Linked DNA regions of Caenorhabditis elegans. The protein of the gene in region 1 purifies or fractionates together with the protein of each later gene. This does not show direct contact. Each region holds a gene or a part of one and is shown in the gene's direction. Other genes may lie near its edges.

What was found.
Region 2: the proteins of grwd-1 (region 1) and rpac-40 fractionate together in Caenorhabditis elegans (co-fractionation; one large-scale study listed by BioGRID). This does not show direct contact.

The regions. Positions count from the first base shown.
Region 1 is NC_003281.10:5,151,328-5,155,955, forward strand, and holds grwd-1 (Glutamate-rich WD repeat-containing protein 1), read left to right. Parts: upstream 1-2,136; 5' UTR 2,137-2,218; coding exon 2,219-2,341; intron 2,342-2,387; coding exon 2,388-2,481; intron 2,482-2,529; coding exon 2,530-2,687; intron 2,688-2,826; coding exon 2,827-3,277; intron 3,278-3,453; coding exon 3,454-3,989; 3' UTR 3,990-4,109; downstream 4,110-4,628. Other genes in the region: rbm-42 (RNA-binding protein 42), read right to left, coding at 714-1,289, 1,418-1,721, 1,772-1,800; putative cytosolic Fe-S cluster assembly factor oxy-4, read right to left, coding at 4,205-4,592.
Region 2 is NC_003283.11:4,197,449-4,204,324, forward strand, and holds rpac-40 (DNA-directed RNA polymerases I and III subunit RPAC1), read left to right. Parts: upstream 1-2,036; 5' UTR 2,037-2,042; coding exon 2,043-2,126; intron 2,127-2,845; coding exon 2,846-3,525; intron 3,526-4,568; coding exon 4,569-4,672; intron 4,673-4,724; coding exon 4,725-4,841; intron 4,842-5,995; coding exon 5,996-6,111; 3' UTR 6,112-6,248; downstream 6,249-6,876. Other genes in the region: algn-5 (dolichyl-phosphate beta-glucosyltransferase), read left to right, coding at 777-965, 1,612-1,644.

The DNA.
Region 1 (4,628 bases):
ACTATACTTATATAGAAAGTTCTAGCCAATGAAGGGGTCGAAAGTATTTTTCATTTTTGTAACAAAATTAGTTGAAAGTATCTAATTGACAAATCCTATACTAGATATAATGTCTACCTATCTTAACTTCCAGCCAAAATCATTTAAATTTCAGGAAGAACATTTTTGAAACACAGACACGAAAATTCTCGTTTTGTGCGCTAAATATACAGTACTCCGTCTCGACAAGAATTTTTTGTTAGTTATTGTTAAAATTTATGCTTTACTGAAGTTTTTGATTAGTAGATATATTTTTATCAAACAACTTCAAAGAATCGTTAGAAATTGAACTACAACGAAATTTTTTAATTACAGTACTCTTTAAAGGCGCACAGCATTTCGAATTTAACAAAAATGTATCGTGTCGAGACCGGATACGGTATTGTTCCCTCAAAATTTGAAGTTTTCAAAAGATTTCAGCCTTTCTTAAATATGAATTGAAAAGAAAAAACTCAAAAATGTAATGTTCTAAAATGACAGTAGAGGTATATTTTGCACTGGACATGCAACAGTGCTCCTGATACTCAAATAACGATAAATATCTCAATTCAGACTTTTATATATTGAAAAGAAAAATGAATAAAAATACGATGACAGGAAAATAAGGGGTACAATGAAAGTATTGGGGTATAAATGAATAAATTACAGAAAAAAATGTAGAAAAACGAATCGATTTACAAAATTCCAAGTTCTTTCTTTTGCTTTCTCTTTTGCTTGATAACATCAATATTACGCTCCTTCCATGCCGATTTTCTCAATTTAATCGGTCGATTTCCAACATATTTTCCGTCCATTTCACGCATAGCTCTCACATAATCCTCCGAATCTCTGAATGAAACGAATCCATATCCTTTACTCTTATTTGTTCGTGATTCTCTGACAACTTTGGCTTTTTGGAAACTTGGGTATTTTCGAAAAGCCTTTGCAAGAAGTTCATCCGACACTTCATTTCCCAGATCTCCACAGAAAACTCGAAAATCATTTTCATCCCATTCGGCAAGAGATGGATCTTCCCAAACCTGACCACCACCGGATCTCACAAACTTCTTTTTCGCTTGTTGTTCCTTGATTTTCTTCTTAAATGGATCGGTTTGCTTTTTGAAATTCATCTTATCAATATCTGATTGAAGAGCTTGAGTTCGCAGAAGTTCTTGTGGAATTGCGTTTACTGCAGGTGTTTCATATAATGCTGGAGCACCTTCAATAGTTGCAGGAGCCGGAATTCCGAGTACTCGAGGAGGGAACATTATCTGTAAATTTAATATTCAATTGAGAGTAATATTCACATAACTTCAATTTTTAACTTTTCTCTCAAAAATTTATGGCTTTATTCATAAAATAAGGATATTTTTTAAGTCAACGGAAAATCAAAACTAACCGGTGCAGCTCTTAATTGTGGAGGCATGAAAATTGAAGGTGGAACTGGAGGCATTGTTGGAAGCCTCCCAAGTGCCGGGTTGATAAATGGAGAAACTGCAATTGTGGCAGCTATCGGAATAAACGGAGGCGCTGCCAAAAGTGATGGTTGAATAACTTGAGCACTAGAAGTAGCTGCTGATGACTCGGAAGTAGTTGGTCCTGCCGAAATTGTTGCATTATCGTAGCCAACATGCGTTTGAGAGCTTGCTGGCTCCTCCGAATTGCTACTCGCTTGTTCAAGTTCGGCTAACTCGCTTTCAAATCTAAAATAATATAATTTGTTTGATAATAAATATAGGAAGAATCAACTTACAAAGCCAGTTCATCATCCAAGTTGGCCATTGTTGAAGGGTGAGCGTTTCAGGCTGAAAATAAGTCTAAATATAGTCAGAAAGTACAGAAACTTTGCGACAGATAAATCAAAAAATATTAATATTTAATATTATTATCTTTAACACATAAATGAATACAAATAAAAGGAAAATAGCTTTTGTTTCGAAAAACATTAAAAAATTGATAAAAATATTAAGAGTACGCAAACACCGCATGAAATAAGCCAGAGACGACGCACTTTTGCGTACTCTAAAATTTTTTCTGTTTTCCTATTTATTTTTTTTATCCTCCCAATTTTCACGCTTTACTAGTAGTTTTGTGCTCATAATTGTTTTAAAATTTAAGAAAACACCCTCTGAAGTTCCAAATATTACCTCATCCGCTTTTTCTAACATTTCTTAAGAGATATATTCTGTATCTGCAGAAAATGTCCGGTGAAAATGACGTTGAAATGCATGATGAGGATCCAGTGGAGGATATAGACGAGTCTGAAGAGGAAGTTGATGAAACTGATGATGAAGACGAGGAAGTACCGGAGAATCAGAGACAAGTGAGCTAGAAATTTCGTACAATACTTCTAATTGTTAAAATTGCAGGCTTACATTCCAGGCCTCAGCCGGCCATTGAAAAAAGGAGAAGAATTGGATTTTGACCCTAGTGCTTACAAACTATTTCATAGTTTCAATTCTGGTGATTCAAACGAAATTGTTTCTAAAATATTTATATTTTATGATTTAGATTGGCCATGCTTGTCGTTTGACGTTGTTAAAGATGGTTTGGGCGAGAACAGAACACAATTCCCTGCCGAATGTTATATTGTCAGTGGAACTCAAGCCGATAAGCCAAGGGATAACGAAATCATTGTGATGGGATTGAAGAATCTTACAACGATGAGGGTTAGTCGGTTTCAAACTTTTTTATTATTTACCTGTTATGAAATTGAAATTCCGGCCAACGTTTAGTTTTAAGCTCAGTAACACAATTGTTAAACTAAAAAAAACAAGGATATCTCTACAATAAAAGTGAGTATTTCAGAAAGAAAAAGAAAACAAAGGCGACGACAGTGACACCTCTGAAGACGAATCCGAAGATGAAGATGCCGAAGAAGAGAAGAAAAGAGAACCAAAAATGCACGCTGTTTCGATTCCTCACTATGGTGGTATTAACCGAATTCGTTCCGATCGTCTTGGTGACAGTACTGTATGTGCTTGCTGGAGTGATCAAGGACGTGTCCAGGTGTGGAATATCACTGATGCATTGAATTATACTCATGGAATGAGCGGAGAGTCGAAGACTGAAGTGCAAAAGATCGATCGACCCTTGTTCACGAATAATGGATCTGGAAAAGAAGGATATGGACTTGCTTGGTCTTCATTAAAAACTGGAGACTTGGCTACTGGTGATATCATCAAAAAGATTTATTTGTGGCAAATGAAGGAAGGAGGACAATGGGCTGTTGGAGCTAATCCATTAACTGGACATAAAAGTAATTTATTTAATTTTGATCTGAAAATTCCAAAAATTGAAATGTGTCTCCTGAATGGCGTTTGAGTGGTTTTTTCTTGAATAGATTGGAAAAAAACAAAAATCTGAATTAAAAACTTGTCTTTGTCGCATAAAAATTTTTGAGCATTTTTCAGTACATATTCCAATATTTTTCAGAGAGTGTCGAAGATCTTGCATGGTCACCAACTGAAACTGGACTTCTTGCTTCATGTTCCGCGGATGGAAGTATCAAACTATGGGATACACGTTCTGCTCCAAAAGATGCCTGCGTCTGTACAGTGCAAAAAGCTCATGAATCCGATGTTAATGTTATTTCGTGGAATCGTCACGAAAACCTCATTGTTTCTGGTGGTGATGACGGAGAGCTGAAAATTTGGTCTTTGAAAACAATCCAATTCGGTCAACCAGTGGCACTCTTCAAGTATCACAATTCACCAATCACTTCAGTCGACTGGCATCCACATGAAACAACGACATTTATGGCTTCCGGTGAAGACGATCAGACAACAATTTGGGATATTGCAACTGAAGCAGATGGACAAACGAATATCGAAGGAGTTCCACCACAGCTGATGTTCGTCCATATGGGTCAGAATGAGGTCAAAGAAGTTCACTGGCATCAACAGATTCCTGGATTGGCTATCAACACTTCAATTGATGGATTTAATGTCTTCAAGACTATTAATATTTAAGATGTCTCCCTGTTATTGCTCCCTGTTTGTTTTTGTTGCTGTTTTTCTCATCTATTCAACATTGTTACTGTTCATTTTTTTTCGTAACTTTTCTGTTAACCAAAAAATGCTTTAAAAATGTCGCGTTTTCGTTGAAAAACAAAAAAAAACATTTTATTCTATAGAATCTAAAAAATTAGGGACTGGGAATGTATCACAAAATATAACAAGAAAATTCACCATTTCAAGACTTGAGCAACATTCGTCTCAACGGGCCTATAGTCCGTAAACAGAAGATTACGGTAGTTTTTATCAAGTTTCTCCCATTCCTCTCGAACTTTTATCCAGGTTTCTTCATCATCTTGTCTGGGTAAATCTTCATATAATGCCTCGACTTTAATCAATTTCTCTTCTCTCTCATCCATTGTCTCGTACCGAATCTGACCTCCACCATTTGCACATCCACCCGGACAAGCCATAATTTCCACGTAATCTGTCTTCTCCTTTTTCGTCTTCATTTTTCGAACCAGATTCTGCACATTTCGAAACCCGTAAACCTTGGCAACTCTTAAAAGAATTTCTCCAGCTTCGGATTCTACAGTCGTGGAGAACATGTTCTTGTTTCTGAAAAAATGAAATATTACATTATTTAAAGTTATT
Region 2 (6,876 bases), on another chromosome or scaffold:
GGGGTCGTAGTGGTCGGAAATCGACTATTATATATATATATATATGTTCGAATTTTTTTTTCTTTTTGGGAGAAAATGTTTAAAAAATTGGCAGACTTTTTTGTCGACAAATTCGGCAAGTCGGCAAGTTGCCGGTTTGCCGATTTGCCGGAAATTTTAAATTCTCGAAAATTGCCGGATTCCAATTTGCCGCAAGTTTTTACAGGGATTTTTCTTAACCTCTGAAATTTCCAAAAATGTGCAAAACCACAATTTGCCGAAAATTTTCGGCAATTGCCGTGTTTCAGGCGAATTCGTCAAATCGACAATTTGTCGGTTTGCCATTTTTCCTGAAATTTTAAATTCAGCAAAATTGCCGATTTGCCGGAAATTTCAATTCCGGCAATTTGCCGATTTGCCGGAAATTTTCAATTCCGGAAGTTTGCCGATTTGCCGGAAATTTTCAATTCCGGCAATTTGCCGATTTGCCAGAAATTTTCAATTCCGGCAATTTGCTGATTTGCCGGAAATTTTCAATTCCGGAAGTTTGCCGATTTGCCGGAAATTTTCAATTCCGGAAATTTGCCGATTTGTCGATTTGCCGGAAATTTTCAATAACGGCAATTTGTCAATTTACCGGATATTTCAATTCCGGCAAATTGCTGATTTTCCTGAAATTTTCAATTCCGGCAAATTGCCGATTTGCCGAAAATTTTCAATTCCTGATTTAAGATTTTAGCTAAAATTCGTCAAATTAAAGTAAAAAAAACCAAAAAAAAAAAACGTTTTTTTTTCAGATTTTCCCAGTACTTCACATTGAGCGCTGGGCTTTTGACGTTGAGCTCATCTTCCTTTGCGAAAGATGGACGGTCCCTGTGAAAGAAGTTTCAGTTCGATGGACTGAAATCGAAGGGTCTAAGATTACTCCAATTTGGTCTTGGCTTCAAATGGGCCGAGATCTTGTGCTCATTTGGTTCAGATATACGGTAAAATTGCAGTTTTTTAGGCCTTTTTTGAAGTGGTGTCAGGATGTCCCATCGCTCTACTGCACACGAAAATGGCGGGAAAATATTTTTTTTTTAATTTGTGACGTCACAGCGTATCTTGAATAATTTTCTTAATTTTAAGCGCCGATTTTTGTCAAACTTAAAAAAAAAATAAATAAATAATATCTTTCTCATTTTAATTTATAAAATTTGATATTTTACCAAAATTCTTAAAATTTAGTGGAAAAATTGAAGCAAAATACACAATAAAAATGAATAATTTCAATTGAAACGAATTTTTTTTTTCGAAAAACCATTTAAACCGTTCATTTACCAAGTTTCCGTGAATTTTTTAAAAATGATTTTCCAAATAAATTTTTGTTTAAATTGAAATTATTCATTTTTATTGTATTTTGCTTCAATTTCTCCACTAAATTTTAGAATTTTTGTAAAATATCAAATTTTATAAATTAAAATGAGCCAGTTTTTAAAAAAATTTCACGAAAATCGGCGCTTAAATTGAACAAAAGCAATTATTCAAAATGCGCTGTGTGACGTCACAAATTTTCAAAAAATATTTTCCCGCCATTTTCGTGTGCGGTAGAGCGACCTGACAATATTTTTGACATTAAAATTTTATTTTCAGATCGGAATTTGGACGGATGACCAGCCTCGCTAAATGCTCCACAAAAAATCGATACGAGATTTTCAAAAAATCTTGCCCAAAAATTTCCTTTTTCTTCTAGTAATATCTATGCTTTAATCACTTTTTTTCCCTGCTTTTTCCTGATTTTTTTTCCAATTTATGGCTGGTTGTAAATATCCATGATTCCTTGAAAATGTGATTCTATTCTTTTTTCTTTTCGCATTTTTATTATTTATTTATTTACTTGTTGGTTTTTCTTTTTTTTCTCTCTTGTTCTGGGGACTCTGGGTTTATTTTTAATGCTAAATTCAAAAAAATATCGATTTAAATGTTTTTTTCCATTTTTTTGTTTTTTTTTTCGTTTTCCCAGCGATTTTATATCTTTCCATAGAGTTTTCAGGCGAAAAAAATCAAAAAATTTCCAGGCAAAAATGGTCAAAAAAGCGGCGGCAACTAGCAAGCAGGCTACCTATCACAGTGATGAGATCGAGATGAAAGAGGAAGTTGTGCTCAATGTAGGATTTTTTGAATATTTCAAGGATGCAATCGCGCTCCATTGGGAAACGAGAGCGCTCCGCCCCCAAACGTTGGGTCTCGTTAGGAAATCAGGCGGCAAAAGCATTTTCCGTATTTTTTTAAAATTTCGTCCAGAAAAATTTTAAAAAATTCCAATTTTTTATTGAAAATCGTTATTTTTCCGAAAAAAATTGTTATACAAATTTACGAAAAAAGGCGGCGATTTATCAACTGCCGGAAATTAGTGAAAGATTACTTTTTTTCAAAAAAAATTGAAAAAATTTAAAATTGTGAGATAAACCAAGAAAAAATTAACTTTCGATTTTTTCAACTTTTTGGAAAAAAAAAACACAAACCAAAGAAAAAATGAACAAAAAAAAAGCGGATTGCGTGTATTTTTCACCACGCGTAACGTCGTTGTCGCGATGTCCTCCGGACCGAAGAGCAAGAAGCTAAAAACGCCCACGCTTGAACAGCAAATCGAAGATGGAGTCAATGCTTATATTCACTCGCAGCAGTTTGAGTTCAACTCTCCACCACGGGAAAATTTTTTTGCCAATTTTTTCGTCTCAAAAAAAAAAGGAAAAAAAAACCAAAAAACCGACATTTCTGGTCAATATTTTTTTTTGTTTTTTTTTTTTGAAGAAATTCGATTTTTTGCTTTTCGGCCGAAATTTTTATTTTTTTAAATTTTCCAAAAATTCTTCTTCAATTCCAGACCTACGACGAATGCACCGATTATGTCGAATACGACGATACAAAACAATTCGATATCAACGAGTATTGCGATCAAATCCAAGTGGCAATGGTCAATGAATCCGACGATGGAATGACATTGGAATTTGATATTACTCGCATTGAAGCTCCAATTGCAAATGCTCTTCGCCGTGTGCTCATCGCCGAAGTGCCAACGATGGCTCTCGAGAAGATTTATCTCTATCAGAATACTTCTGTAATTCAAGATGAAGTACTCTGCCATCGTTTGGGTCTTCTGCCGCTTCGTGTGGATCCACGTGGATTTCAGTTTCCAAAGGAAAAAGTCGTTGGAATCAATGAGAAGGGAGTGGATTGTGACGAGGAGCCCGAGGGAGATCCCGCGAAAAATTTGATCTTCAAGATTAATGTTTCGTGTACGAAGAATCGAAATGCGGTGCCGACGGCTACCGATCCGAAGCAGCTTTATCACAATAGCTCGGTCTACTCACGTGCTTTTGAATGGGTACCGATTGCTGATCAGAAGACGCAATTCACCGAAGAAGCCCATCCACGTATGGTTTCTGATGATATTCTCGTTGCCAAGCTTCGTCCTGGACAGGAAATTGAAGCCAGTTGCCATGCGGTCAAGGGAATCGGACGGGATCATGCAAAGTTCTCACCGGTTGCTACTGCGTCCTATAGGTGTGAATTTTGAAGCTGCTGAAATATTTTCTTTTGATTTTTGCGGTTTTCCGGAAAATTGAAAATTTTTCGTTTTTCGATTTTCTCGGAAAAAGTGAAAAATTGGGGGGAAAAAAATTATAATTCATATAATATATTTTCGGTTTTACGGGACCCCAAATTCTGAGAATGCGTATTACACAAAATTTTTGACGCGCAAAATATCTCGTAGCGAAAACTACAGTAATTCTTTAAATGACTACTGTAGCTTTTAAAGAGTTACTGTAGTTTTCGCTACGAGATATTTTGGGGAAGTTAAATAATTTTTGTACATCTACCTATATTCAGTATATTTAGACTGTTTTCTGTAATTTTGTGGAAAAAAAAGTTCGAAAATTTCAAGCCAGAGGTGAATTTTTTTGTCGACAAATTTGACAAATTGCCAATTTTTTTTTATTTTCGGCAATTTTCATTTTCGGCGATTTGCCGGAAATTTTCATTTTCGGCGATTTGCTGGAAATTTTCATTTTCAGCAATTTGCCGATTTGTCGATTTGCCGGAAATTTTCATTTTCGGCGATTTGCTGGAAATTTTCATTTTCAGCAATTTGCCGATTTGTCGATTTGCCGGAAATTTTCATTTTCGGCGATTTGCTGGAAATTTTCATTTTCAGCAATTTGCCGATTTGTCGATTTGCCGGAAATTTTCTTTTTCGGCAATTTGCCAGTTTGACGATTTGCCGGAAACTTCGATTTCGGTTAATTGCCGGTTTACCGATTTGCCGGAATTTTCATTTTCTGCAATTTGCCGGTTTACCGATTTGCCGGAATTTTCATTTTTGACAAATTGACGATTTGCCGGTTTGCCGGAAATTTTCATAGAATTTGCCTACTTTTCAAAATACATGTAGGAACATTTATAGGATGCGTACAATTTAGCCGATTGAAATTGAAAATCTGAAATTTCCAAAAAAAATGTGCAAAAACACAATTTGCCGGTTTGCCGGTTTGCCAATTTGACCTTCAAATTCTTCCAATTTTTCAAAAAATTTCTTTTCATTCCAGACTGCTTCCAACGATCCGCTTGAACGCCGAAATTTCGGGTGAAGCTGCCGAACGTCTCAAATCAGTATTCAGCGAGGGAGTTATTGCTATCGAGAAGAAAGGAGGTAGATCATAAATCAATTTTTAGGAAACACACCAATTTTTTTAAAATTTCAGCCAAACGAATTGCTGTTGTCAAGGATGCTCGCAAGGATACGTGCAGTCGTAACGTGTTCCGCCACGAAGATCTGTCGAAAGTTGTTCAATTGGGAAAGAACAAACAGCATTTCATTTGTTAGTGGCAGGGCTGAATTCGAAAAAAAAAACTGAAATTCATGAATTTTTCGCATTTTTTTGGTTTTTTTTCCAAAAAAAAATACACGAAAAGTTGTCGAAAAACAAACCCCAATTTTGTTAAAGTTTGAAACCTTATTTTGAAAATTTTAAATATTTTTGCCAAATTTTAACTCTTTTTTTTAATTTTGAGAGTGGTTTTTTTGGAAAATGTATAAGTAATTTTTTTTGGAGCCGGAGTTTTTATATATTTTTTTTCGCTTTTTTTTTCGAAAAAAAAAGAATTTTCGCCAGAAACATGGTACAGACGTGCCGTTTTTCGATTTTTTTTTTGAAAAAATTTTTAAAACGAAAAGTTGAAAAATTGGAAATTGGGAAAAGAAAATTTTTGAGTTTTCGAACTTAAAAAAAACGAAAAAATTTTTAAAAAAAATGTTCAGAAAATTAAAATTGAGCAGAAACTGGGGAAAATTCGAAAAATTCTGAAAAATTCACAAAAAAAACCCATTTTTTCGAACTTTTTTCCGATAAAATTACAAAAATCCTAAATTTTCTACTTTTCAAGGGCCCGAATTTTTGTGGAAAATTAGTAAAAATCGGTTAAAATTAACCATTAAATATGATTTTTTCTAATGGGGTTATTCAAGTAATGTAGCAATTTTTTTTTTTTTTCGCAAAAATTTTTTTACACTTTTTAATTTTCCGACACTACTTGAATAACCCCATAAATCAATTTTATCGAAACTGATGAGAAAAAAAAATTTAACGAAAAAAAAACACAAAATTTCGTCGTCAGAAATTTTTCGATTTTTCCCAAGTTTTCTAATTTTTTTGGTTGAGAAAGTCGATTTTTTTTAAATATAAAAAAAAAACCGAAAAAAACGTAGGAAAAAAGAGGGAAAAACTATAAACTTATTTAAAAATAAATTATATTTCAATGAGAAAAATGAAAATTTCTTCAAAAATACAAAAAAAAACCAAAAAACCATTTAAAAAAATTGCCAAAATTTCAAATTTCTTTTTTTTTAAACTGAAAAAAAAACACACAAAAAATTTTTCACAATTTTTACCGGCAAATTCGGCAAATTGGCAATTTGCCGGTTTGCCGATTTGCCGGAAATTTTGAATTCCGGCAATTTTAGTTTTTTTTTCAGTCAGTGTAGAGTCGACTGGAGCTCTGAAATCGTCTGAATTGGTGGTTGAAGCCTGTAAAGTCATGGAAATCAAGTGTCGTTCTCTTCGCAAACAAATCGAGGCTCTTATTCAATAATCCCCGTTTTTTTGAAATTTTGTTACTATTTTTTTATTCGTTATCCTTTTTTTTTGTTGTTGTTTGACTACCCCTCAAGTTGTTACACTGTTCCGTCACTTTCTTTTTTCTTAATTTGAATGAATTTTCGTGGCTTTTTTACCTTCAAATATCTCCTAGTTGGCCAAATGGTTGAAATTTCCATTTTTTATTTGTTTTTTTTGTAGTTTTTTAACAGGTTCATAGAAAAATCATTCATTTTTTCGGTTTTTTCAGAAAAAAATTATTAAAAAATGGAAAAACTCCAAAATTTTGAGCTATTTTCTCAAAATATTGGAAAACGAATTCTTTTCGATTTTCAGAAAAATTAGAAACAAAACTTTAAAAATCATCAATTTTTGTCTATCCTGATGAAAAAATATAATTTTCTTCAAAAAATTAAAAAAAAAAACCAAAATTTGAATAAAAAATTGTAAAACTAACATTTTCGGTTTTCCGGAAAATCGAAAAAGCGAAAAATCTTTTCTTTGCAGAAAAAAAGAAAAATCAATTTTGTTCTAAAAAATATCCTTTTTCGAAATACTGGAAAAACGGGGCAGTTTTCGAATTTTTTTCAGAAAATTGAAAAAAAAACGATTGTTTTTAGAAAACTAGCAAAAATTCAATATTTTGTCGAATTATATAATTTCTAAAAAATACCAAAATTTTAAGTAATTTTTTTTAAAACAATTTTTTTAATATCGAAAAAATAAAAATTTATTAGATTAGATTTTTTTTCGGAGAGAA